2 linked regions of the Caenorhabditis elegans genome follow. The protein of the gene in region 1 interacts with the protein of each later gene in a pairwise test. Each region holds a gene or a part of one and is shown in the gene's direction. Other genes may lie near its edges. The genes, in order: pdr-1 and ubc-15.

What was found.
Region 2: the proteins of pdr-1 (region 1) and ubc-15 interact in a two-hybrid assay, tested with the Caenorhabditis elegans proteins (one study listed by BioGRID).

Annotation. Positions count from the first base shown.
Region 1 is NC_003281.10:13,769,638-13,781,809, forward strand, and holds pdr-1 (E3 ubiquitin-protein ligase parkin), read left to right. Parts: upstream 1-1,881; 5' UTR 1,882-1,893; coding exon 1,894-1,962; intron 1,963-2,007; coding exon 2,008-2,153; intron 2,154-2,243; coding exon 2,244-2,676; intron 2,677-2,722; coding exon 2,723-2,813; intron 2,814-3,092; coding exon 3,093-3,297; intron 3,298-3,350; coding exon 3,351-3,425; intron 3,426-3,471; coding exon 3,472-3,613; 3' UTR 3,614-3,707; downstream 3,708-12,172. Other genes in the region: cyk-4 (Rac GTPase-activating protein 1), read right to left, coding at 1-172, 360-731, 782-1,274, 1,325-1,436, 1,481-1,586; mdt-29 (Mediator of RNA polymerase II transcription subunit 29), read left to right, coding at 3,833-3,880, 4,319-4,426, 4,922-5,131, 5,480-5,710, 7,742-8,089, 8,533-8,793, 8,903-9,022; pot-3 (Protection of telomeres protein 1 ssDNA-binding domain-containing protein), read left to right, coding at 10,591-10,938, 10,986-11,233, 11,283-11,334.
Region 2 is NC_003280.10:2,904,586-2,920,886, reverse strand, and holds the start of ubc-15 (Ubiquitin-conjugating enzyme E2 J2), read left to right. Parts: upstream 1-7,283; 5' UTR 7,284-7,339; coding exon 7,340-7,351; intron 7,352-10,190; coding exon 10,191-10,456; intron 10,457-12,046; coding exon 12,047-12,245; intron 12,246-14,165; coding exon of another isoform or gene 14,166-14,345; exon of another isoform or gene 14,346-14,372; intron 14,373-15,059; exon of another isoform or gene 15,060-15,061; coding exon 15,062-15,253; intron 15,254-16,301. Other genes in the region: Y110A2AR.1 (Receptor expression-enhancing protein), read right to left, coding at 240-602, 652-945, 1,009-1,107; ncap-1 (NECAP PHear domain-containing protein), read left to right, coding at 1,736-1,818, 1,916-2,016, 2,087-2,181, 2,231-2,311, 3,387-3,500, 3,552-3,653, 5,896-6,020, 6,956-6,965.

The DNA of each region.
Region 1 (12,172 bases):
CCGGCTTGGCTCCACGTAATGCGGATTTCGGCGTCATCATCGTCTTGGGGCGTGGTATGCACGGGAGATGAAGTTTGTTGCAGCAACTACGATGGACAACCTGGTGACAGTCTCTGCATTTCATTGATGTGGCGAGCTTCAGGGCTGTAGCACATTTGTCGCATTTTCGCATCTGAAAATCAAAAAGGTATTAAAACAGTGTGGCAATTCATGTTTAACAGAAAAAATAGGAATTCTTTGTTCAGAAATAGATGTTTGCAACATGGGGTCCGAGACGGACGCGCCTCTTCATGATTAGCATGATTTTCATCACTACAGAGCTCACTTTAAAGAAATTTGTTAGCATTTTTTACACGTACCGCTTTGATTCCTGCCTCTATAAACGTGTGTGGTCTCATTGCGATGTCACGAGTTGTTCCATTAGTCCACGCCGGCGTGCCACGTTTCAGGGTTCGGATATCAAGTGTGCTTTTGGTGAGAATGGCGGACGACATGCCGAGGCCGATGTTATTTGTGGTTTGTCCTGGTGTTTGATCGCATGATGGAATACTTCCACAGCTCAAGCTCCTGCGGGTGAGCTGGCGGTGAAGTGAGACACGTGGCGGGTCCTGGTTCTGAGCTCGAGAGTTATGAATAGTAGTGGTGGTGGTGGTAGTGGTGGTAGTTGTCATTTCTTGATGAGGTGTAGAACCATCATCACGGCATCTTTTTGGAGGTGTACCACCCTCATTCTGAAAGAACAAACGCAATTCAACAAAAACTGTCATGTCATAATTTTTACCGGCTCTTCATCTATAGTAGCTGTCATAACACGGCTTCTGCTCCTCTTCGAATTGGCAGCAGCAGTAATCGCATGTGCTGACGCGCTTCTCCGCTTGCCACCAACTGCGTTTCCAGCAGCTGAGCTTCTTCTGACCTCTCTTCCATTGCGCAAATGAATAACTTCCTCGAAACTGTCTCCAGTTTCATCGTAATCCACCTCACTATCGTCCTCATCGTCCTGTGTGTCCTCCATCAAATGTGGATGCCTCTGCTGCACCCGTTTCGAGTATGTCCGGACCAGTGGCTCGTGAAGAAACTTGAACTGATCGCGGTCTTCCTTGGTGAGACTATTGAATATACCGTTCTTCATCGCATCTTTCAGCTGCTTTTCACGAGTCTCGTAGACGTTTAGATCGAGCTTCAACGCCTTATTTTCTTCCATCAACGCGCGTAAATGTTTCTGAGTGTCTTTGACATCGATATCGAACATTGCCAGCTTCTTGCGAGCTTTTCTGAAATAATAGTGTTTTCTAAACACGTAAACATGAAATATTTCACTTACGCAAGTGCTTCTTCGGCCTCTCTCATATCTGCATTCAGCCGCTTTTTGGATTCCTCGGAATCTTTCCACAGCTTGCGGAGACGCTCAATCTCATCAATCAAATGAAACATTCCTGAAACACGTCATTAAAATTTGAAAATGATAATTGAAACTAACCTATATCCTTAATATCGAATTGCGGTCGCTGTGAGTTTAGAATCATGTTGAAAATGTGACGCGAGTTTTCGCCGCACACCTTCTCTTTTGATGTACTGGACTTCATTCTAAAATGTGGAAATGATTAGAAAACGAGAAACTCGCCCGAAAATAAGAGAAAAATGCGTGAAAACCGTTTCAAATTTCGTGGAAAACAGTTCGAATTTGAAGCTCGCTGCGTTTGTCTCACACGCGACGCGACCCGCTACGCTTGCCATAGGGCGCACATGACTGCGAGGACTAGTGTGCACAAAAACATGGGGCTTCAAGGCCTCGACTAGTTTTTTGAATTTAATGTTTAAAACTGCAAGCAGGCCCGCTAGCAGGAAATTTTTTTGTTAATTTCTAAGTCAAATTTTCAGCTCTCATGAAGCATGTCTGATGAAATCTCTATATTAATACAAGATAGAAAAACAGGTCAACGTAGGAATCTAACACTTAATGTAGTGGACATTTCAAACTTTGAATATATACATTATTTTTTTCAGATAAATATAACTGGAAATATCGAAGATCTCACAAAAGATGTGGAAAAGCTCACCGAAATTCCCAGCGATGAGCTGGAAGTGGTTTTCTGTGGGAAAAAGTTATCAAAATCAACGATTATGAGGGATTTGTCACTGACACCTGCAACGTAGGTCAAGTAAATATTTACTTATATAAATAACTGGAATTGTTATTTATATAAATAACTGGAATTGTTATTCAAATAATATTATTTCAGACAAATCATGCTTCTCCGTCCAAAGTTCAATAGTCACAACGAAAACGGTGCTACTACTGCAAAAATAACAACAGATTCTTCAATTCTCGGAAGCTTCTACGTGTGGTGCAAAAATTGTGACGACGTCAAGCGCGGCAAACTGCGGGTTTATTGCCAAAAATGCTCGTCAACCTCTGTTCTAGTCAAATCTGAACCCCAGAACTGGTCCGACGTTCTCAAAAGCAAGAGAATACCGGCGGTCTGCGAAGAATGCTGTACTCCAGGTCTTTTCGCTGAATTCAAGTTCAAATGTCTAGCCTGCAACGATCCGGCCGCAGCTCTAACTCACGTACGCGGAAATTGGCAAATGACCGAGTGCTGTGTTTGTGATGGGAAGGAGAAAGTGATCTTCGACCTCGGATGCAATCATATTACATGCCAATTCTGTTTCAGAGTGAGTAAGAATCTAAATTTTTTGTTGAAATTGTTTAATTTTAAAGGATTATTTGCTAAGTCAACTGGAACGATTCGGTTTTGTCAATCAGCCGCCGCATGGCTTCACCATTTTCTGCCCCTATCCAGGGTGCAATAGTTCGTTCGATTTTATCAAAACCATTCAATTTTCTGCAGTAGTGATCCTGAAAACTAATTGATAGAAACAAAAAATCTTCCAAAAAATACAAATATGTTATGTTTCCATTTTGCAAGTCTGGCATGGTTTTTTTTTTGCAAAAAAAACCCCCACCCGTTCTATTTAAATTTATTTTGAAAATTTTCTCACATGTTTCAATAGTTTTTCAATGCCGAGAAAATTGAAAAAAAAAGTTTTAAAGAAATTAAACAGAACATTTAATTGAAAAATAACTTCAGGAGTGGTACAAGATGTGCACCATTTCCACATTATGGGTCAGACGTCGTACAGCGAATACCAACGGAAAGCCACCGAGCGATTGATTGCCGTGGACGACAAGGGTGTGACTTGCCCGAATGTCTCGTGTGGGCAGAGCTTCTTCTGGGAGCCCTATGATGACGATGGAAGATCCCAGTGTCCAGATTGTTTTTTTTCGTTTTGCAGGTATTTTGAGCTTCTAAATCGGAAATTTTATCGCAATAAATATCATCGTTCAGAAAGTGCTTCGAAAGAAATTGTGTGTGCCAGAGCGAAGACGATCTCACCCGAACTACAATTGACGCGACTACAAGGTGATCTCAGCGATTATCCACTACAAAAAACTGTAAATTCTTCCAGAAGATGCCCAAAATGCCACGTGGCAACCGAACGGAACGGCGGATGTGCTCACATTCACTGTACCTCGTGTGGAATGGATTGGTGTTTCAAGTGCAAGACAGAATGGAAGGAAGAGTGTCAATGGGACCATTGGTTTAATTAATAACTCTCTAAAATTCATCTTTTCTAGAGATTGTACGTGTTATTCTGTAGATTTTTACAACAATTACGGTGTGTCTGAAGTTACATTGACATTTTTTCTCTTCAAATTTTAGATCTTTTTCTCAATTTTTGTTGCTGAGTATTTCGCTCATTTCATACCTTTTTTTAAATGTTTTGCCAAATTTCAAAGAACACATTTCTCGCAGGGATCTCCATAGACATGTCAGGACAAGGACCTCCACCAAGTATGACGCCGCAGCAACAACATGTAAGATTTTTTGTGCTTTTGAACTTGAGAGTAAATTTTAGTGAATTTGAGCACATTTTACAACCTTTTTCGGAAAAATTTCACACTTTTCTACGGCTTCATCCTTAAAACAATTGAAGTCAAAAAATGTCTTTTTTTTAATTTTGGGAACAAAAAAAATTAATGAAAATGTACAATCACACCAACATGGAAACATTTCTTGAGCTTCGGGATATATCTCAGTTTTGGAGTGGGCTGAAAATTATTTTTTTCATGAAAATTAAAAAAACAACTTTTTCATGAAAACAAAACTCACCGCATTTTTTAACTGAAATTTGAAAATTTCTCACTCAAATATCCTTTAAAGTTTCATTTTAAGACGTTTTCAGAGCTTTTTTAAAACCATATAACCAAATTTTAAACTAGGAATAAAAAGATTATAAAATAAAAACATTTCAGATGTTAATGCAGCAGCAACAGCAGCAACAAATGATGCGGCAGCAACAAATGCAGCAACAACAAATGCAGCAGCAACGTCAACAGCAAATACAACAACAGGCTCAACAGGTAGTAATATACCGTCCAATTTATCGAAAATTTGAAATAGCACTTTCTGATAAATTTTTTAACGTAAAATTAAAATATTTTATGATTTTTTCCGCAAATTTCTGATCGAAATTTTTTAAAACATTAAATTAAACAGATTTAGCGTATTTTATCGCTAAAACTAAAGAAATTTGATAGGAAACATACCATTTCGGTTTTTTTAAATAGTAAATAATAACACTACGATACAAATAAAAAGCGCTTAAACATATATTATTCGGTACTTGTGTATTATACCCCCGCCATTTTAAAAATTAATTTTTTAGCTTATAAAATAAAAACGTGTGGAATTTTAGGCTTAGGAAAACACCATTCCTAAGCCTAACAAGGAAAATGGGTATCACGTTTAATTTAAACGGATAAATTAATGGAAATTTAATTAATTTCTAAAATGGCGGGGGTATAATACACAAGTACCTATTATTCTGTAAAATATCGATTTACCACAATTTTCAGCCATACCAACGAGCTCGAACTCCACAAATGGTACCACAAGGAGGCTCGCCGGGAGGTGCTCATCTCCAAATGCATCCTCATCTTCAACCACAAGGACAAATGCAACCGAGAAGCCCTCTAGTTGGAGCACAGCTTCAGGCTCCCTCGTCGGTGCCCACTGCCGCAAATCCGACCACTCCACAGATGATGCAACAGCAAATGGGCATGAATGTACGGGGAGATTTCTGATAAAACTTAGAACTATTGAAAAAATATTTGGAAAAAATTCAAAAAGGGGAAATTAGTGAGAGTTGGAAATTCGTGTTTTTGGAATTTTCATTTTCTTTTCTTTTTTTTGTGGTATTTCAGCATATGGAATGTTCCTAGTATTTTAAAACTGAAAGTAAATCCCCATTTTCCGAACTCTACTTTCATTCAAATTTCCGATTATTTTGTTCAGAATTTTTGTTGGAAATTAAAAAAAAACCAATCTAAAACAATTGGCCGTTCAAACATAAATCTCCAAATAAAAGTAATTTGTGACAATCTTTTTTAGCTGAAAAAAAAATGTAATTTCAGCAACCAATGTCTCTTCCGCCAACACACGTCTCACGTCCAGGCTCAGTTGCTCCGCCGTCGTCGGTTCCCGTCAATTTACAACACACATCTGGTGCACCCGGGCTCCCGGGCTCACAAATGGAGCATCAGTACCCAATGCATTTGCAGCCACAACAGCAGACATTATCAAGGCCGGGGTCTCAGCAAAGTCAACATATTCAACAACCCGGAAGCATTCAAAGACCTGGATCGGTAAATTTTCGGATTTTATTGAAAAATTTTAAAAAAACAGAGAAGAAATATACAGTGCTTCACATAATGATACGGCCACCCCCAAATTTTGGTATAACTCAAAACTGGGTTGAGATAGCAAAACATAGTTTCTTGTGAAAATGTTCGCTGTACTGGCTAACTTTCAGATAAGTATTGGAAATATACCTGAACCGTTCGTAAAAAAAGATAAACCATTTTTTCATGAAAAACCATATAAAAAAATCCACAAAATGATACGGCCACCCTTGGTTTTTGTTTTCTTTTTTCGTTTTTTTTGCAATTTTTTTTGCTAAACGTTAGGTTTCATGTTCGTTTGTGTTTTTACAGCTATGGGTCGTGGAATAACTTTAACTGACTACGAAAAAGGACAAATTGTGCAAAATTATCTCAAGGCTTCTCGGATCGTCAGATTTTTCGTGATTTGAAACGTTTGAGAGATATGATCACTCGATATGCTTCAAATCCTGCCGCTTATTGCACCAAAAAGTCTTCTGGTCGCCCACCACTCCTTTCTGGTAGAGACAAGCGAAAAATCGTTCGTCGAGCATTCAATTGAACAGTGACTTGCTCGAAAAGTAGGAGCGAGATGAACCTGCCAGTGTCTGTTGAGACCGTACGTCGTGTCCTTCGAAGTCCCAGTTTATCAAAAGACGAAAATTAATAAAGGCTAATTTCATTACCGAAAAACACGGCCAAAATCTTATTCAGTTTGCTAAAATCAGCCAGAGAACTAACTGGAGACAAGTGAGGATTACGGTATGATCATTCAATCTCATGTTTTGGTCTCAGATCATCTTCAGTGGCGAGAAAAAGTTTAACTGTGATGGTCCTGATGGCTACCATGATTACTGGCACGATTTGAGAAAAGAAAAGATGAACTGAAACCAAAACATGAGATTGAATGATCATACCGTAATCCTCACTTGTCTCCAGTTAGTTCTCTGGCTGATTTTAGCAAACTGAATAAGATTTTGGCCGTGTTTTTCGGTAATGAAATTAGCCTTTATTAATTTTCGTCTTTTGATAAACTGGGACTTCGAAGGACACGACGTACGGTCTCAACAGACACTGGCAGGTTCATCTCGCTCCTACTTTTCGAGCAAGTCACTGTTCAATTGAATGCTCGACGAACGATTTTTCGCTTGTCTCTACCAGAAAGGAGTGGTGGGCGACCAGAAGACTTTTTGGTGCAATAAGCGGCAGGATTTGAAGCATATCGAGTGATCATATCTCTCAAACGTTTCAAATCACGAAAAATCTGACGATCCGAGAAGCCTTGAGATAATTTTGCACAATTTGTCCTTTTTCGTAGTCAGTTAAAGTTATTCCACGACCCATAGCTGTAAAAACACAAACGAACATGAAACCTAACGTTTAGCAAAAAAAATTGCAAAAAAACGAAAAAAGAAAACAAAAACGAAAAAAGAAAACAAAAACCAAGGGTGGCCGTATCATTTTGTGGATTTTTTTATATGGTTTTTCATGAAAAAATGGTTTATCTTTTTTTACGAACGGTTCAGGTATATTTCCAATACTTATCTGAAAGTTAGCCAGTACAGCGAACATTTTCACAAGAAACTATGTTTTGCTATCTCAACCCAGTTTTGAGTTATACCAAAATTTGGGGGTGGCCGTATCATTATGTGGAGCACTGTATTTATAAACATTTTTAAAAAATTATTCGAAAATTCTAAAAATTTTTAGAAATTTCTCGAATATTCCCGTATTTTAGGAGTAAAAAAAGGTTCTTTTTTGAGATTTTTCAAACGAAATAGTGAAAAAATTTCAATGATAAACAGGAAAAAATCTTCTTTTTTTGAAAAAATTGTATTTCTTAAATAAAAATTACTTTATTTGGCATTTCAAGTGAAAGTTTGATTTTTTTTCAAATTAAAATTTTTATACAAAAAAAAATTCCAAAAAAGTTCAACATTAAATTTCAATGATTTGAAAAATAAAAATAACATTTTTTCGAAAATTTAGAAAACAAAAACCTCTCAAAATTTTCAGGTTCTAGCTCCAGGTTCAATACCTCCCGGCGGGCCAGCTTCCCAAACAGGACCCCAATCGATTCAAGTCTTCGGACCCGGCTCCGTGCAGCCACCAGGCTCAACACAGGCTCCGTCCTCAGTCCAACCGGCTTCCACATTCAATCCAGGCTCGATTCAGGCTCCGGCAAGCCAGCAGCCGCCTGCATCAGTTCAACCACCGCCATCTGCAGCGTCGGGCTCAACTGTGGCCGGTGCGCAGAGCTCCAAAGAGCCGCTGAAACCGAATGAGGAGCAAATTCGAATGGTTCAGGATCCTGTGGATTTGGTTCGAAATTTGGTGCAAAAGGATCTCAGAAATTCGTTGGTGGTAAGCTTTACAATTTTTGTTGGAATTTTGAAGAATAGAAAAAACTAAAGGTTTGAATAAAATTGAATGTTTAGGAAAGAATATGTAAGAAAAATTTATTTCAAATTTTTTTTTTCAAAGCATCAATTATTTTGGTCAAACAAAGAAAAAGAAAAATTCACTTTTAATGGCTTTTCAGAAAAAAAAAATTGTTTTGAAATTTTTGACATATTTAGCTGTTGTTTAAAAATTGTTTGTTGTTTAAAAAGTTGTTGTTTTTTAAAAAGAAAAAATCGAAAAAAAACCTCATCGAAAAAAAGAAAGTATTTTGACTTGAAAACAGAGAAATGAAATTTCCATGTTTTTCTTGAATAAAAAACCATTTTTATATCTTTATTCGATTATTTCAGATTTTTACATAATCAATTAATTTTTTGATTACAAAATCGAATAAATAAATTCAGGAAATGAACAAACGCGGTGCGGAGCTTGTGCGTCAGAAACAAGAAGGAGAAGTGAACGAGGATGGAAAAGCTCAGTACAGCAGAGCCACGAACGATTTTCATGCGGTTTGCGATGAAATTGACCGTACTTTGACGACAGTATTGGAGACAGCGAAACAATTGAGCAAACTTGACAAAGTGTTCTTTGATCGGAGCTCTCGAGATCTCGACGGGGAGGTTATGGTCAATTCTGTGCAGAATTTTGTGGATAATACTGAAATTGTAAGCAGGGTTCAGGCTAAAATTGTGTTTTGGTAGATGTTTGGACACTAACAAATATTCGTTGCGAAGGAGGATCGTTGAAAAAAGTCAAACTTTCCTAATTTTTCAGGTACAAAGAATGTTCGACGACACAATTGGAAGTGTGACGTCTTCAATGGAAAGTATGCGAAGACGACAGAAGAAATGGGAGGATCAACACAAAAATGATGACGTCGAAATGATGGAGTAAATATTAGTTATTTAATGATTGTTCTATTGTTCTCAAATACAAAAAAGCGTTACATTTCTGTAAAATAAAAAAGATAATTTGCATCTATTTCAGAAAATCATTTTCTCAATGTTAAATCTTATTTTTCTTAATTTCTTGTGTGTTTTCATCGCTCAATTATCGTTTTTCTCTGAGAATTGATTTTCCAATGTAAAATGAGAGATCTTCTTGTTTAAAAATAATAATAAAAATCACTTACTTCTCTGAAATATGCGTTTTAATCTCTCAAAAAAATTGAGATTTGTCCGTTTTTCATTAATTCAGACAGTTTTCCGGTAAATCTACTTTTACACCATTTGAAAAGGGAAATACCAAATTATTAAAACAGCATAAAACAAATTTAAAAAATTTCTTCAGTTATTTTCGGTCTATCTTTTTGTCATTAAAATAGTTTTTTTCCAAAAAATGAATTTCACATTTTTAAAGAAAAAATTTGAATTGAGTCAGATTTTTAAGTACGATAATTTTTTATTAGAAAAAAACTAATTTTGAGAAGAAAATAGATATGTAAATGGTTTAAAATGTGTACTTTAAAATGTGAAATTTAAAATTATTACACGGCCCGGCAAGTGGTACATCCATGCAAATGCGCTCTACTGATAATTTGAGTGTAGACCAGGTTTGGGCGCGTGATAACGAAAAAAGCTTTGGTCCAAAAAATTTAGAATTTAATTTCGGACATTTTTTATATGCATCACAAAAAAGCTGGACCAACCGTTTTTGAGATACACGCGCCCAAACGTCCAGGTATACGGTAGACAAATTGCGTACAGGTACCACTTCTCGGGCCGTGTATTATATGACCTCAAAAATTCTGAGAATGCGTATTGCACAACATATTTGACGCGCAAAATATCTCGTAGCGAAAACTACAGTAATTCTTTAAATGACTACTGTAGCGGTGGTGTCGATTTTTGATTTTTTCGATTTTTTGAAATGAATGGAAAATGAAATGAATGAAATTGAGCGATATTGAAATTATTTTCTCATTTTTAACTGAGTTTCAATATTTTATCGATAAATACCGTATTTTTTCTATTACTACGTCTTCTCTATTAGAATTGCACTCCCTATTAGTATTGCCCCTCGGAGACCTCTCGAAAATTAGTATGGCACTCCCTATTAGTCTTGCACTCCCTAATAGTCTTGCTTTTACTTTTTTTAAATTGCAAACGGGTCTCGCTAATTTCAGGATTCCATCAACATTTTTTACCTATTTTGTAACAATTTTTGACAACATTTCTACGAGATAGAAGTTTTGAACTTACATGCTACAATTAAAATTACATTTTCTGACTTTTTACATATGACTTTTTCAGAAAAACAAAACAACTAGTAAGCTCAAAGTCAAAAATGTTCTGAAAATTAGTATTGCAATCCATATGAGCTCGTAAATCGACACAAGCGCTACAGTAGTCATTTAAAGAATTACTTTAGTTTTCGCTACGAGATATTTTGCGCGTCAAATATGTTGTGCAATACGCATTCTCAGAATTTTATGTTTCCGTAATACTATGTTTCAGGTGAAAATGTTTTCACCGCTCGAGTGTCGTCTTGCTGTTGCTTGTAAATTCCAAGATGATCGATATTATAAGCTTTTTCACCAATATTTTGATCTACTGGCCCAAGTTCACTCTGTTGTCGAAACAATGGACGGTTTATGGATGCTGAGAGTGTGGAGGGCTCAAAAATTCGGACCAGAAAGCATCAAAGAGAGACGAGAAAGACAACTATTTCACGTTACTCAATTTTCCTTCAAACGTTACATCGTTCCGCCGAATCCGCGTATTGGAAAAGCCATTGAAGAATTTGGGAAAGAATATCTGATTGAGATCAATGTTTACGACGAGCATCGAGCTGATTTAGTGAGTCTAAATGTAACACTTTTAATTCATCTTCTATATATTAACCAATAGTCTTGCAGTCCGGTAATTTCGTGGCTATTCAAAATGTGCACGCAGCGTCCACACCACATAGAGAAATTCAAATTCTTCACGGCGGCGGTGAGGCATATCAACGTGGAATCTCGACAGTTCCAGTCGACTTCGAAGTTGATGCTTTTCAAAATTTCAAGAGAAAGGTGGAATCTGTGCTGGAAAATGTTTTGTACGATGAAAATTTCATCGAGTTCCAACAGCCGGAAGAAGTTACTGAAAATCGTGTTCCTGAAGAGTAAGTCGGTTTCATAATTGAAAAAAAAAGATTTTTTTTTAAATTTCAGGCCTCAATTGAACATCCACAAGGACCCTTTGCCGAGTGATCTTCCACAATAAAGGAACACCGAAAGCGTGGCGGTTCGTCTAAATATCGTTTTCTTTTTTTTCTGTAATTTTCGGTTCAAACCGGTGTATCTCACATGTTTGTTTTTGGTTTTTAATATATTTATTGTGTTGTTAACGATTGTTCGGAATGCAGTATTTTTTAAAATTCTTCAGCATTATACAGTGCATTTGTTTTTCCACTTCTGCGACTTTAAAGGGAGGCGCTTTTATGCGGAATGATCTGGTCGCGCGTTTAATAATCATTTTAGCGGTTTCTTTGTAAAAGAAATCGCTAAAATAATATGCAACAAATCATTAAAAACTTGGAAATTATTTTTGGTTGCTCATATTTGTGCAGGCAAAAAGTGCCCTACCTATAAAAAAGGTATAGTCATTCAAGCCCAGTTTTTGGTTTCAGTTCATCTTTTCTTTTCTCAAATCGTGCCAGTAATCATGGTAGCCATCAGGACCATCACAGTTAAACTTTTTCTCGCCACTGAAGATGATCTGAGACCAAAACATGAGATTGAATGATCATACCGTAATCCTCACTTGTCTCCAGTTAGTTCTCTGGCTGATTTTAGCAAACTGAATAAGATTTTGGCCGTGTTTTTCGGTAATGAAATTAGCCTTTATTAATTTTCGTCTTTTGATAAACTGGGACTTCGAAGGACACGACGTACGGTCTCAACAGACACTGGCAGGTTCATCTCGCTCCTACTTTTCGAGCAAGTCACTGTTCAATTGAATGCTCGACGAACGATTTTTCGCTTGTCTCTACCAGAAAGGAGTGGTGGGCGACCAGAAGACTTTTTGGTGCAATAAGCGGCAGGATTTGAAGCATATCGAG
Region 2 (16,301 bases), on another chromosome or scaffold:
ATCGTCGGATTTTCGGGGAATTTTGAGTGGAAAATCTGTAAAAAAGGGGGTTTTTTCTAGATTTTTTATAGGAATTTTTGATTTTAGCCGCTCTCCGGGGCTCTAAATACATTCACAGTTCATATTTTGATAAAACCAGGGCAATCATACACGAGGATCATAGGGTAAAAGGTAGGTGTTAGTGATATACAGGAAAATTCGCGAATAAATGGTCAATAATTAATTGATTTTCTCTTCTTCTATTGAACGGATCCATGGCGGAACTGCTGCTGCTGCACAGATCTGAGCTGACGACGTGTCTGCATTGTTGAGCGCCTTCTCGGCGGGGACGGTGGCGTCGCGTCGGCGGGATTCTCGATTTCCAGGTCCTCCTCAACGATCTCCTGCTTGATCTGGCGGATGAAGACGTCGTCGCCGCCGAGGTTCAGATCCTCGTCATCCTGGATTTCGAAGCTCTGATCGAGGAAGATTGGCTCCGAGCGAGATGGGGTTCGAGTTGCGGGTCGGCGCCGCGGCTCCGGGTCCAGGCTCATTGAGCTATCGATTTCTTCGATTTCAAGCTGAGAAATTGGAGTTGGAGCACTGTTAAGCGTTGCGACGACCTGGAAAAACCAATTTTAAGTTAAAAAATCCGATTATTTTCCGACTAACCGACGCCAAAACTGCCGGCACCGCGCTCGCCACAATCGGCATGTTCTCCCACACTTTATCCATCAATTTCGCGGAAATATTGTCGATTCGGCGCTCGTATTTCCTCAGAAACGGCGCCAAGAACTTTGTGTAGAGAACCGAGGCGAATCCAATGTGGGGAATCGCCATGAGCACTGTGAACGTGAGAATGAAGAAATCGTAGAACGGAATGAAGCAAGAGACGTAGAAAGTGCTCAGGAACCAGTCGACAATGAGGAATGAGCCGTAGATTGTCCAATAGTGCATGCATTCGATCTGGAAATCAAAAAATCGGGTTTTTGGTGCGATTTTTAGCGTAAAAAATGGCATTTCACCAACCAATCTCGGTTTCGTCGGCTTTTTCAGCACTTTGAACGAGCCAATGACGGGCGCCACTATTCCGATGAGATTCGAGAGCCCACGAGCGAGAAATGACATTTTTTTGACGAGTAGAAGCTGGAAAATTGTCGAAAATAGTCGAAAATTCGGAGAAAATCGAGTGGAAATAGGCGAAAATCCCGCGCAGTTTGTGTCTTTACAGAAGTCGTGGCGAGACCAGAAGAGTGGATTTGGGCATGCGCCTTTAAAATTTGTTTTCTTTTTCTAGCATTTTCTAGGCTAAAACTGCTTTTAAAATTTAATTTTTTGATGGATTTTTAATGAAAAAGGTTTAAAAATTTATTTAAACAGATTTTTCATAAAATCTACGTCAGAAATCACAAAATTGACGGCTTAACTACAGACAATTACAAAAATTTTAATTTTCGTGGCGAGACTCAACCACTATAAAAACTCTATGCGCCTTTAAAAACAAAATTTAATTCCAGGAATTTTTTTCGACTTTTTTCTCGATTTTTCTCGATTTTGAGCCAAATTTCGTCGATTTTCTCGCAAAATTTACAGAAAAAACCCTCGAAACTTGAATCTCGCGCTCACTTCCGGCGCGGACGTGGCCGATTTTTCCGCTGAACCGACGAAAAAAAAGTCGATAGAGAAGGCTTCAACACACTTAATTTGCACGTTGTTGGCAGTATTTGGCCGTATTCAGCGAGAAAAATCGATAATCATGGGAGATTACGAGAACGTTTTAATGGTAAAACCCAAGGTTTTCGTGTATCGCATCCCGCCGATCGGAACCAGCGGTCATAAGTGAGTTTTTGAGGGTTTTTAAGTGGTTTTTAAGGTAAAAAATCTTATTTTTAACGTAAAAATCCATATTTTTCGCTATAAAATCCCTATTTTTCAGAGCCGCCGACTGGAACCTCGACAGCCCGGCTTGGACGGGACGAATGCGGCTTGTCGCCATCGGAAAACGTCTGGAAATGCGTTTAGAAGACGGAGAAACCTGTAATTTTCCCTCGGAAAATCAATAAAATCAATCAAATCAATAAAAACCCCGAAATTTTTCATTTTTCAGGCGATTTATACGCGAAATGCCCGATCGATGCGCACCCTGGCAACGCAATTGAGGCGGTTTCCGATAGTTCTCGATATTTTGTGATTCGTTTGCAGGTTTTTTTGGCTTAAAAAAGCCCTGAAATTTCAAAATTTTCACGTTTAGAACGACAATGGACAGCAGGCATTCGTGGGATGCGGGTTTCAGGAGAGAGGAGATGCTTTTGACTTTAATGTCACACTTCAAGTGCGTAAAAGTGGCTTTAAATGCTGAAAATCGAGGATTTGAAGTGGAAATTACGTTAAAAACCGGGAAATTTGACCGAAAATCGATAAATTCTGCGATTTTTATTCAAAAATCTGAAAAATCCGCATTTTTTCGAGGAAATATCATTGGAAATTCACGGAAAATTGAATTTTCTGGTGAAAAATTGGAAAATTCCATGAAAAATCCCGTTTTTTTCAAAAAAAAAGTCGAAAAAATGCTGAAAATTAATAATTTTTAACTAAAAATTCAAAAAAATCAATTATAAACCCCCAATATTCATAGATTTTCATCAATTTTCAGCGAAGAAATCGCTAAAAATCAAATTTTCAACAAAAAATACTGCAAAAAGTCACTAAAAATTCCAATTTTTCCTGAAAAATTCACTAAAAGCCCATTTTTCTACGAAAAAATCTAAATTTTCTCAATTTTTCCTTCTATAAATACCGATTTTCCTCGAAAAAATCCTGTTTTCCTTTTAAAAAATCGCTAAAATTCACAAAAATCGCTTAAAAATCAGTTTTCATCCATTTTTCTCGGTTTTTCTCTGAAAAATCCAAATTTTTCACTAAAAATTCCAAAAAATCACTAAATTTCATGGAGAATATCCATTTTTTCCGCGAAAAATTCCCAGAAAACCCAATTTTTCTCGAAAAAAATTACTTTTTTTGCGCCAAAAAAATCACAATTTACCTTTTAAAAAATCGCTAAAATTCACAAAAATCGATCAAAAAATCAATTTTTACCCATTTTTCTCGGTTTTTCTCTCAAAATAACCCAATTTTTCATCAAATATTCCCGAAAAACCCCATTTATCCTCAAAAAAAACTAATTTTTCCTGAAAAATTCACAAAAATCGCTTTAAAAATCAGTTTTCACCAGATTTTCTCGATTTTTCACCAAAAATTCCCAAAAAATCACTGAATTTCTCAATTTTCTTCACAAAAATCGCTCAAAAAGTCAGTTTTCACCCGATTTTCTCGGTTTTTCTCTCAAAATTCTCCAATTTTTCCCAAAATTTCACTAAAAAGTCCCAAAAAAACCGCCCAATTTCCAGGATCACTTTCGTTATATCGAACGAAGCGCCGAACTGGAAAAACAGGATCTTTCTGCCGGTCCAAGCTTGGATTTAGCATTTAAAGAGGGACAAACCATCTCAATTAACATTGGAGTACGAATTTCGGACTGAAAATCTCTGAAAATTACCCTAATTTTCTTGCAGAAAAAGGATAAAAGTGCAGTTTCCCGCCCTCGTCCGGCTCCTGGAGCATCTACTGGAGGCCTAGTGCCACTGCTTCCACCGCCGCCAGGTGCCGGCTCAATGGTACGGAGCTCGAGCTGAAAATCTGGAAAAAATGGCTGAAAAATGTGAAAAATTGCCTGAAAAACTGAATTTTCCGTGATTTTTCGGGTGAAAATCTGGGAAAAATGGCTTAAAAACTAAATTTTCAGTGGTTTTTCGTCTAAAAAAGTAGATTTTCATTTGAAAAATGTCTGAATACCTTAATTTTTAGCTGAAAAACTTGAAAATTTGCTCAAAAAAATCGGGAAAAATCGATTTTCTGGATAAAATTAAGCTAATTTCGTTATTTTTTAGCTGAAAATCTGGAAAATTGCCTGAAAAATCTGAAAAATTGCCGGAAAAACTGAATTTTCCGTGATTTTTGGGTGAAAATCTGGGAAAAATGGCTTAAAAATCGTTTTTTTTTTGTTTTCAGTGGAAAAATCTGAAAAATTGCATGTTTTTCAGCTAAAAAACGTCTAAATTCGTTAATTTTTGACTGAAAATCTCGAAAATTCTGAAAAAATTGAGTATTTTGCTCAAAAAATCGGGAAAAATCGATTTTCTGGATAAAATTAAGCTAATTTCGTTGATTTTTAGCTGAAAATCTGGAAAAAATGGCTTAAAAATCAGTTTTCAGTGGAAAAATCTGGAAAAAAAATGCTAAAAACTGAATTTTCAGTGGTTTTTCGGCTAAAAAAATTTATTTTTAGTCAAAAAACATCTGAAGATCTTTAAAATTCTGTAAAAATTGAGTATTTTGCTCCAAAAAATTGAAAAAAATCGATTTTCTGGATAAAAATTAAGCTAATTTCGTTAATTTTTAGCCGAAAATCTTAAAAATTTCGCTGAATTTTGGATTTTTTGGTCGATTTCTGTGGAAAAATCGCCGAAATTTGCTAATTTTTCACTAAAAATCTTCGAAAATTTGATTTTTTGGCTGAAAAAGCCTAAAATAGTGTTGAAATTGTATAAAATCTGAGGAAATTTCCCAATTATTCGCTGGAAATTGACATTTTTTCACCACTTTTCTTATCTTTCTCATCACAAGATTATTATTGACTTTTTTGTGGAAAAAATGTGATTTTCAGCTGAATTTTGGCCGGAAAAATGCTAAAAAAACCGATATTTTTGACTGAAACTTCAAAAAATATCGAATTTTCAGCATTTTTCCGGCGAAATTTTTGATTTTTTCGAGTATTTTGGCTGAAAAATTGAAATTTACAGCCTAAATTATCGGAAATTAACCTTTAAAATCGCGGAAAATCCAATTTTTAGCTTAAAAATTGCTGAAAAGTGCAATTTTTTCCACTTTTTGCTCAGAGTTTCCATGGAAATTGGTGACGAATTTCGTTCGGAATCTCTGCGCCTCTTTGGTTTTTTTTTCTCTGAAAATCCTCCGTCTGCTTCTCTAATTCTCCACTTTTTCCCACATTTTTGTGTGTTTTTCGCGCGATTTTTAGACAATTTTCCTCCAAAAAAAGGGTTTTTTTCCGAGCTTTTTGAAAAAAATTGTATAAAAAATGCAAAAAAAACCATTTTTTCAGTTTAAATCTCAAAAATTCGTGAAATTTGCCATTTTCAAACCGCAAAATTTGAATTTTTCGATTTAAAAAAGTCGAAATTTTACCAAAAAATATTTGATTTTCGGCAGATTTTTTGCATAAAATTTCAGAAAAGTAGCTGAAAATAGTGAAAATTCGAATTTTTCACTCAAAAAATTGCTCAAAAGTTCGTGAAATATGCCTTTTTCTCCAAAAAAAAATTGCCGAAAAACCGTGCTTTTTCGCGAATTTTCAGCGATTTTTGGCTGAAAAATCGCATTTTTGGCCGAAAAAATTGGGTTTTTAGACATTTTCTCACCAAAAACTATGCTTTTTTCGAGTTTTTTGAAAAAAATTGCGATTTTCTGAGAAAAAAATCTTAAAAAACCCCATTTTTTCGGTTTAAATCTGAAAAATTCGTGAAATTTGCCATTTTGAAGCCACAAAATTCGAATTTTTCGATTTTAAAACTCGAAAATTCATGATTTTAGTCGAAATTTTGCCAAAAAACTATGATTTTCGTCAGAATTTCGCATAAAATTTCCGAAAAGTAGCTAAAAACGCTGAAATTCGAATTTTTAAGCCCAAATTTGCAATTTTCAGTCAAAAAATGCGATAAAAGTACGGATTTTTGCTCGAAATCAACTTTTTTTCTTCAAAAATTCGAGTTTTCCACTCAAAAATCATAGAAATTCCTCTAAAATTTGTATATTTTCGACTAAAATTTCCCCAATTTTCAGATCAGAAACTCTCGTCCTTCCACCACCACCACTACGGCTTCATCTTCTCTGTCTTCTGCTTTTGCTGCTCCACCGCCGGCTCCGAGCTCTTCGACGAGCACAACGGCGACGTCTGGCAATTTATTGTCAGTTTTTTGCTCGTTTTTGAGTGAAAAATTGATGGAATTCACAAAAAATGGCCAAAGAATCCTCAAAATTGGCCGAAAATTCTGAAAAATGACCTAAAAATCACCGAAAAACGGCCAAAAATTATCTGAAAATCGCCGAAAATCTCAAATTTTGAGGAAATTCCCGCTAAAAATTAATAAAAATCACCGAAAAAAGGCCAAAAATTACCTAATAAAGGCCGAAAATCGCCTAAAAAGGCCAAAAATTCTGAAAAATGGCCAAATTTCAATTTTTCACACACAAAAAATCCCTGAATTTTCTATTTTTACTCGAAAAACTGTGGATTTACGGGGGTAAAAATTCAGTTTTTAGTGCTATTTCACAAGAAAAACACAGCATTTTCGACAAAAACTCCGATTTTTAAGCCAAAAATTTGAGGTTTTTAGTTTTTTACGTGAAAACCTGAACTTTTTGCCAAAAAAACACTTTTTTTTAGACTAAAAATCAATTTTCGATCAAAAATCACTAATTTTGCCTGAAAAAATATAGATTTTTCCACTTTTTCACTGAAAAAAAACTGGATTTTCACTAGAAAATCAAGTTGTTTTTAGACCAAAAATTTTATTTTTCCGCTGAAAATTATCGTTTTTCAGTCAATTTTCAGCTAAAAATCCCTGAAATTCTGGATTTTCAGCCAAAAAACTCGAAATTTTCCAAAAAAACCCCGTTTAAAAATGAGTTTAGACTGAAAATTCCGATTTTTGAGCCAAAAATTTGATTTTTAATCGAAAAAAATTGGATTTTCAACCAAAAAATCAGTTTTTCAGTGATTTTTAGAGTAAAAATCACTGATTTTAACACAAAATTCCAGTTTTTCGTGATTTTTCACTAGAAAATCCCGATTTTTCCCCAAAAAATCCATTTTTCCGACTAAAAATCCCCAAATTTTCAGAGATTTCTAAGCGATGACGTCATCTTTCTTCTCCGTACAACTGTCTGCGTCTCTTCACTTCTCTCTCTCCACCTTTTCTCTACGCTTTCCATCGCTAATTTATTGAAATTTCCTGTCCCATTTCATTTTTTTTTCGAATTTTTTTTTAATTGTTAATAGCTTCTGTGATTTTTCCCTGCTTTTTTCTGATTTTTTCCGTCAAAAATGGACAATTTTCAGTCATTTTTATTGATTTTTTGCTATTTTTTCCCCGGAAACGGTTATTTTTCACCGCATTTTATCTATTTTTCGCCAATTTTCGGTTAATTTCATCAAATTTTCCGTCCAGATCACTCTCTTGGGGCGCCAAAAACTTGGTGAAACCGAATCGATTATCTGGTGAAAATGCTGAATTTGGTGAGTTTTTTTTTTAAACGAAAAATCATTAAAAATTATAAATTCTCATTTAAAAAAATTGAAAATTTAATTTTGTGAAAAAAATGTGGAAAACTTCAATTTTTAAGCCAAAAATTTCCAGTTTTTTCGGATTTTTTTTAGCAGAATTTTTAAAAAATCGATGAAAAATTAGGATTTTTGGCATTTTTGCCGCGAAAAAATCCACATTTTCAGAAAAAAAAATCCAAAAAAATGAAATATTTACTGGAGGAAAATTATAAACTTTCAGAAAAAAACAATATTTATTTGTTAAAAAAAACAATTTTTCTGAAAAAAATCAACATTTTCGAAAAAAAAATCTAAAAATCAAAATTGATCTGTTTTTCCTCAAAAAAATTCAAAACTATCAGAAAAAATTAATATTTTCTGTTTAAAAAACCAAATATCCCCCAATTTTTCAATTTTTGGCTAATTTTTAGGGTTTTTTACTCTAAAAAAATTCAAAATTTTCTTTAAAAAATCAATGTTTTATTTTAAAAACCAAAATTCCAATTTTCCCCGAAAAATTCAGGAAAAAACCCTCAAAATGGCCCAATTTTTGGTTAATTCTTCGGGTTTTTACCATAAAAAAATTCAAAATTTTCTGAAAAAATCAATAATTTCCGTTAAAAAATCGAACTTTTCAAAAAAACTAATAAAAAAAAAACATAATTAAAAATTTTCAAAAAATTCAAGCTTATCGAAAAAAACCAAAATTTTCCAATTTTTCCACTAATTTTTCAATTTTTGGCTAATTTTTTGGTGTTTTTACCCTTAAAAAATTCGATTTTTCCACTATAAAATTGAAAAACCCCCTAAATTTTTCAATTTTTCGCTAATTTTTTGGGTTTTTACCCTAAAAATTCTCAATTTTTTTAACCAAGCAATCAATTTTTCTGAAAAAAAGTGAATTTTTAATTTTTTCTTATAGTTTTGAATTTTTTGGAGGAAAAACAGATCAATTTTGATTTTTAGATTTTTTTTTCGAAAATGGTGAATTTTTCAGAAAAATTGTTTTTTTAACAAATAAATATTGTTTTTTTCTGAAAGTTTATAATTTTCCTCCAGTAAATATTTCATTTTTTTGGATTTTTTTTTCTGAAAAATTGGAATTTTTCGCGGCAAAAATGCCAAAAATCCTAATTTTTCATCGATTTTTCAGATAATTTTTTTTAAATTCTGCTAAAATACGACAGTTTTCGGAGCAAAAATCCGGAAAAATTGGAAATTTAACAAAATTAAAATTTCAATTTTTCGCTAATTTTTTGGGTTATTACCCTAAAAAATTCAATTTTTTAATCAAAAAATTTTAATTTTATAAAATTCGAAATTTTCTGAAAAAATCAATAAATTCTGTTCAAAATTGAAGCTTTCCAAAAAAAAAAATTTCTGGAAAAAACCAAAAATTTCAAATTTTCTCCAAAAAAACCCCAATTTTCTGGCAAAAAAACCAAAAATTTTCAATTTTTCGCTACTTTGTTTGGGTTTTTTACTCTAAAAAAAATTAAAAATTCACTGAAAAAATTCAAAATTTTCTTAAAAAATCAATGTTTTATTTTAAAAACCAAAATTCCAATTTTCCCCGAAAATTTCAGGAAAAACCCACAAAATTGCCCAATTTTAGGCTAATTTTTGGGTTTTTACCATAAAAAATTCAACATTTTCTGAAAAAATCAATAATTTCTGTTAAAAAATCAAACTTTTCAAAAAAAACCAAAATTTTCAATTTTTTCCACTATAAAATTGAAAACCCCCGAAAATTTTCAATTTCTTGGTTAATTTTTTGGGTGTTTTTACTCTAAAAATTCAATTTTTTAATCAAAAAATTTTAATTTTCTGAAAAAATTCGAAATTTTCTGAAAAAATCAAAAAATTCTGTTAAAAAATTCAAGCTTTACAAAAAAAAAATTTTCTGGAAAAAACCAAAAATTTCAAATTTTCTCCAAAAAAACCCCAAGTTTCTGACAAAAAAACCAAAAATTTTCAATTTTTGGCTAATTTTTCGGTGTTTTTACCCTTAAAAAATTCGATTTTTCCACTATAAAATTGAAAAACCCCCTAAATTTTTCAATTTTTCGCTAATTTTTTGGGTTTTTACCCTAAAAATTCTCAATTTTTTTAACCAAGCAATCAATTTTTCTGAAAAAAAGTGAATTTTTAATTTTTTCTTATAGTTTTGAATTTTTTGGAGGAAAAACAGATCAATTTTGATTTTTAGATTTTTTTTTCGAAAATGTTGAATTTTTCAGAAAAATTGTTTTTTTAACAAATAAATATTGATTTTTTCTGAAAGTTTATAATTTTCCTCCAGTAAATATTTCATTTTTTTGGATTTTTTTTTCTGAAAAATTGGAATTTTTCGCGGCAAAAATGCCAAAAATCCTAATTTTTTCATCGATTTTTCAGAGAATTTTTTAATAATTCTGCTAAAATACGACAGTTTTCGGAGCAAAAATTCGGAAAAACTGGAAATTTTTGGCTTAAAAAATGATTTTTTTCACTTTTTTTTTCACAAAATTAAATTTTCAATTTTTCGCTAATTTTTTGGGTTTTCACCCTAAAAAATTCGAAATTTTAAAAAAATTTTCTGGAAAAAACCAAAAATTTCAAATTTTCTCCAAAAAACCCCCAATTTTCTGGCAAAAAAACCAAAAATTTTCAATTTTTCCACTAATTTTTCAATTTTTGGCTAATTTTTTGGTGTTTTTACTCTTAAAAAATTCGATTTTTCCACTATAAAAATGGAAAAACCCCTAAATTTTTCAATTTTTCGCTACTTTTTTTGGGTGTTTTTACCCTAATAATTCCCAATTATTTGCAGGGTCCCGGCGTATCCGTACCAGCAGCTGGCACAGCATCCAGCTCAGCCGTTCGACGCCTCCAAAAAGACTACGCAAAACTGATGCAAGATCCTGTTGATGGAATTAAAGCACTTCCAAATGAGGATAATATTCTTGAATGGCATTATTGCCTTCGTGGATCACCGGATACACCATTCTATGGTGGTTATTATTGGGGAAAAGTGATTTTTAAGGAGAATTTCCCGTGGAGTCCACCTGCTATCACGATGATTACACCGAATGGAAGGTAGTAATGACGGACGGACACGAAAATTGCGAAAAAAAAATCGTCAAAAAATACGGTTTTCAATGATTTTTATGTAACTTTTGAGCAAAAATTAATTTTTTTGACGATTTTCCTCATTTTTTCAGAAAAAATTGATTTTAATCGCATTTTTGGCCATTTTCCAACTTTTTTGTAAATAAAAATCATTGGAAATCGCCAAAAATACGATTAAAATTAAATTTTCCCGAAAAATTGTAAGAAAATCATTGAAATTGGTCGAAAAATGCGATTAAAATCGATTTTTGCTGAAAATGTTCAAAAATGTCATTTTTGTTTTTAAAAATTGGATTATATCAGCCAAAAACGGCACAAAATCCTTTTTTTTTCCTCGAAAAATGCAAAAAATCTAATTTTTTTTTTTGAAAAATTCGGAAAAATCAGTAAAGATACGATTAAAACCAAGTTTTTCTGAAAAATATCGAAAAAATCGAGAAAAATGGTAGAAAATGCGGTAAAAAACCAAATTTTGCTGGAAAATAGCGTATAAAATGGTCAAAAATACGATTAAATTTACATATTCGCTGGAAAGTTGCACAAAAAAGTTGGAAAATGGCCAAAAAATGCGATTAAAATCAATTTTTTGCTGAAAAAATGAGGAAAATCGTCAAAAAAATTAATTTTTGCTCAAAAGTTACATAAAAATCATTGAAAATCGTCAAAAAAAATCGATTTTTACCCGGAAATTCATTTTTTCTCGATGAATTTCTGAGAAAATTGCAATTTTCTTTGGTTTTTCAGATTTTGATTCAAAAAAGTTCACATTCCATTCTCTCAGAATTTACAGAATTTTAACCAATAAATTGTAAAAAATTCAGTTTTGCATTTGAAAAGTTTAACCTACAAATGGCCTAATTTGACGATTTTGTAGATTTTCACGGAAAAATTCATTTATTCTTATAAAAACTTGAAGTTTTCGTCTAACAATTAAGATTCTCGGTCAGTTTTAGATAAATTACTCCAAAGTTGGGAGATTTTTGCGAAAAATCGTTAAAAATTATCAAAAATGCCATATTTTGTCAGGAAAAATGTTTATAATTTAATAAACCCGAAAAATATCGAAAATCGGCTAAATTTTTAGATTTTTCAGCACAAAAAAATGATTAGAAACTGTTGTGAAAAACGGTTTTAATCCTCAAATTTTTTTTAAATCGGCAAAATGTGAAATTTTGCCCAATTTTGTGCAAATTTTGACTCAAAAACCTCAATTTTCCTGTGGCAAATGGATGTATCTATTGAGTATTGTGATGTGCAAAACCTCGTTAATTCGCCAATAGAATTACGATATTCTCATCACAATTCCCGATGGGCTCCATTTAGTCACGTTTACGGGGAACCTCTGCCCAAATTTTCATTTTTTGGCTAAAAACATTAAATTTTTCAACAAAAAAAAAAAACTCCGAAAAAAAATTATTATTATTATTTGCATTAAAAGTGCCCCAAATTTTCCTTTAAAAAATCGCTGAAAAATGGTAAAAAATGTCATTAAAACGGTAAAATTTCAGTCATTTTCTGTCGAAGTTTCATTTAAAAAAAAAAAAGTGTTTTTTGCAGATTCCAAACAAATACCCGCCTATGCCTATCAATTTCTGATTATCATCCGGAATCATGGAATCCCGGATGGACTGTATCTGCAATTCTAATAGGACTTCATTCATTTATGAACGAAAATTCGCCGGCTGCCGGATCAATTGCCGGAACTCCACAGGATCAGAGGATGTATGCGGCGGCGAGCAAAGAGTTTAATGTTAAGGTGCTGCTGCTGCTGCTCTCGAAATGCTCCTGAAAATTTGGAAAAAAAAATTGGAAAAATCCTTAAATTTTACCTGAAAAACGCAGAAATTGAGCAAAAATGTAGAATTTTAAAAACCCAAAATGGAAAATTCTGCGAAAAAACTCGAATTTCTGGCTCAAAATTGCAAAAATTCCCCAAAATTTGGGGCAAAAGCCTTGGAATGTGTGAAATTTTGGAGAAAAAACCCCGAAAATTTGGCCAAAAATCGCGGATTTTGGGCTGAAAATTGGAAAAATCTTAAAATATTTCCTAAAAATTTTAAATTTCAGCCAAAATTTGACCGAAAAACTGGGATTTTCCGTAAAAAATTCGAAAAATCTGGCAAATTTGAGCCAAAAGCTCCGGAATTCGAGCTTAAAAATTGGAAAAATCCCCGAAATTTGGACAAAAATCGCGGATTTTCTATTGGAATTTGGAAAATTTCCGGAAATTTTGTCTGGAAAAGTGAGAAATTTAGAAAAAAAGTGTCGAATTTTGCTGCGAGAAAATCCGTAAAAAATCACTAAAAACGTGTCATTTTTATGCGAAAAATTCGCTAAAAATCGCTTTTAACAGGGTTTTTCAACAAAAATTGCTAATTTTTGACATAAAATCTCGATTTTTGCGCAGAAAATCGACTTTTCTTCATTTTTTTTCCACTCAAAAATCTTTTTTTCAAAGCGTTTTTTTCCGATTTTTGAGCCGAAAAATTCTGGGAGAATTTTTGCTCGAAATGCTCCTGAAAATTGAAGAAACCGGAATTTTACAACGAAAAATTGATTTAAAAATTCGCAAATCTATGAAAATTGACTAAAAACCAAGAATTTTGGTGAAAAAATGACTTTTTTCTGGCAAAAACCGAGAAATTTGGACGAAATTCAATTTTTAGCCCTTTTTCTAGTTTTCCGGGTATTTTTACATGATTTTTTCGGCAAAAAAGCCCAAAATCCGGTCAATTTCGATGAAATTTTCGGTTTTTTCCAAATTTTATGGGGAAACCCCAAATTTTTAGGCATTTTTCCGAATTTTAAATAATTTCTGTGATTTTTAATGTTTTAAAATGGAATTTGCCCGGTTTTCTGTCTTTGTGCAATTTTTTCGCTTAAAAACCTGCTTTTCAGCTAAAATGGGGCTTTTTTCTACACTTTTCCAGGGAAAAGGGAATTTTTGCAGCAAAAAACACATTTTTTCTAAATTTCTGAATTTTTCCACAAAAAATTCGGCTTTTTTAGCACAATTCTGACAATTTCAATCGATATTTGCGTAATGTCGACCAAATCTCTTGTTTAAGCGATTTTTCGTCGAAAAACTGGTTTCAATCGCTTAAACAAGAGATTTAGTCAAAGTTTCGCAAATATCGATTGAAATTGACAAAATTGTGCTAAACAAGCCGAACTTTTGGTGGAAAAATTCAGAAATTTAGAAAAAATATGATTTTTGCTGCAAAAGCCCCCTTTTCCCTGGAAAAAATGTAGAAAAAAGCCACTTTTTCGCTGAAAAGCAGGTTTTTAAGCGAAAAAATTGCACAAAATAAGGAAACCGGAAAAATTCCATTTTAAAACGTTAAAAATCACAGAAATTATTTAAAATTCGGAAAAAAAAGGCCTTAAAATTGAGTTTTCCTCATAAAATTTGAAAAAAAAAAAACCGAAAATTCCATCAAAATTGACCAGATTTTTTGGGCTTTTTTTGCCGAAAAATCATGTAAACATGCCCGGAAAACTAGAAAAAGGGCTAAAAATTTGGTTTTTCTCTCCTAAAATTCCAATAAATAATGTGTAATTCGGCGATTTGGCGCTTCTCGACCGCCATGAAGAGTCCTATGAGAGGCTGGCAAAGAAGACTTTGGCCTGTTTTGTACACGCTTTTGCCAATTTTAAATTCAAATTTTTCTTGAAGGTATACAACTGGAATTTGGCTGGAAATCCGCACTGCAACTTTTTCCTGACGAGGGACGAGGAAAAGTGGTTTCTAGGCCATGGCCGAGGGGCCGACAAGTTTCATCGGCCATTTATCTTGCTTTGTTTTCCGCCTGTTTTCTTTTGTTTTTCATCGATTTTTCCCGTTTTTTCTTATTAAAACTGATAAATAAATATTTTTTGCACAGATGCTAAAACAATTTCCGAGTAAAAAATTATGTATTCAGTGGGCAAGCAGCGGTGAAAGTGGTCAATGTAAAATGATGGATTACGGGAATACAAAACCTAAACTTTTTTTGAAACATGATACATATGCTGCTTAGATGCTGAAATTACCTGATTTTCATAACGAGACCGCTGAAAAAGTTTTGAGGTTTTCAAAATTCAAATTTTTTAGTGAAAAAGTCGAGATTTTTGCACAAAAAGTTTAATTTTGAAAATCTCAAAACTTTTTCAGCGGTCTCGTTATGAAAATCAGGTAATTTCAGCATCTAAGCAGCATATGTATCATGTTTCAGAAAAAGTTTAGGTTTTGTATTCCCGTAATCCATCATTTTACATTGACCACTTTCACCGCTGCTTGCCCACTGAATACATAATTTTTTTACTTGGAAATTGTTTTAGCATCTGTGCAAAAAATATTTATTTATCAGTTTTATTAAGAAAAAACGAAAAAAATCGATGAAAAACGAAAGAAAACAGGCGGAAAACAAAGCAAGATAAATGGCCGCTGAAACTTGTCGGCCCCTCGGCCATGGCCTAGAAACCACTTTTCCTCGTCCCTCGTCAGGAAAAAGTTGCAGTGTAAATTTTGGTGAAATTTTCGCTTTTTACCAAGAAAAATTGCTAGAAATTCCATCAAAATTCAATTTCCAGTACCGCGAATTCCGTCGATTCTTTCCACAATTCGTCAAAGATTGGACCGGAGTACTGCCGACACCGAATGAGCCAAATATTGCTCCAACAATGCTCCCAGAGCATGCTGCTCCAACTGGAGGAGCACCAAATGCTGCTCCAAATGCTCCAATTGTACGTGGATTCGGTTTCGACAACAATCTCCCGGCACGTGTGAGTTTTTGTTTTTTGTTAAAAAATCGAAAAAAAATTAAAGTTTTCCATTAAAAAAGCTATTTTTTTGATTTTTTCGCAAAAAAAGCTTAAAAAAAACGGATTTTTTGAAAATTTTGACTTTTGGCGAAATTTTGAGCTAAAAAAATCTCAGGACACTATTAAAAACCCAAATTTCTCTATTTTTCCGACAGAAATTTCAATATTGGTCCAGTTTTGAGCGCAAAATTTGCAAAAATTTCGGCAAAAACCTCGGATTTTCAGTTAAAATTGGGAATTTCAACGTAAAAGTTGAGTTTTTGGGGAATTTTTTTGTTGAAAATCTGAATTTTGAGAAAATCCCCGTAGAAACCGTAAAAAACCAGCAAAATCTCTAAAATTTTTTGTGGTAAAAACCACCTAAAAACCCCTTTTCCATGGAATTTTCGGCAATTTCTCCGGGAAAACTACGAAAATTGCCCAAATTTATCAATTTTTCGGTGTAAAAACTTCCATTTTTTGATAAAAACTAGGTTTTCCCCGGTAAAATCCTCCAAAATTCTTGTAAAAACCACCTAAAAACCCATTTTCCCCCCTAAATCTGCGAAAATTGCCCAAATTTCCCAATTTTTCCGCTTAAAAATCTCAATTTTTCGATAAAAAACTAGGGTTTCCCCGGTAAAAACCTCCGTAATCTCTCGAATTTTCCAATTTTTCGGTGTAAAAACCCCCTGAAACTGCGAAAATTGCCCGAATTTCCCAATTTTTCGGGCTAAAAACCGTAAAAAACCAACAAAATCTCTAAAATTTCCAAATTTTCGTGGGGTAAAAACCACCTGAAAACCCCTTTTCCATGGAATTTTCGGCAATTTCTCCGGGAAAACTACGAAAATTGCCCATATTTTTCAATTTTTCGAGGTTAGAACTTCCATTTTTGATAAAAACTAGGTTTTCCGCGGTAAATCTATGGAAATCCCTCGAATTTTCCTTTTTTTTAATGTAAAACCTGAAAAAGCCAGTTTTTCCACGAAAATTGGCCAAATTTTGCAATTTTTCAAGGCAAAAATCC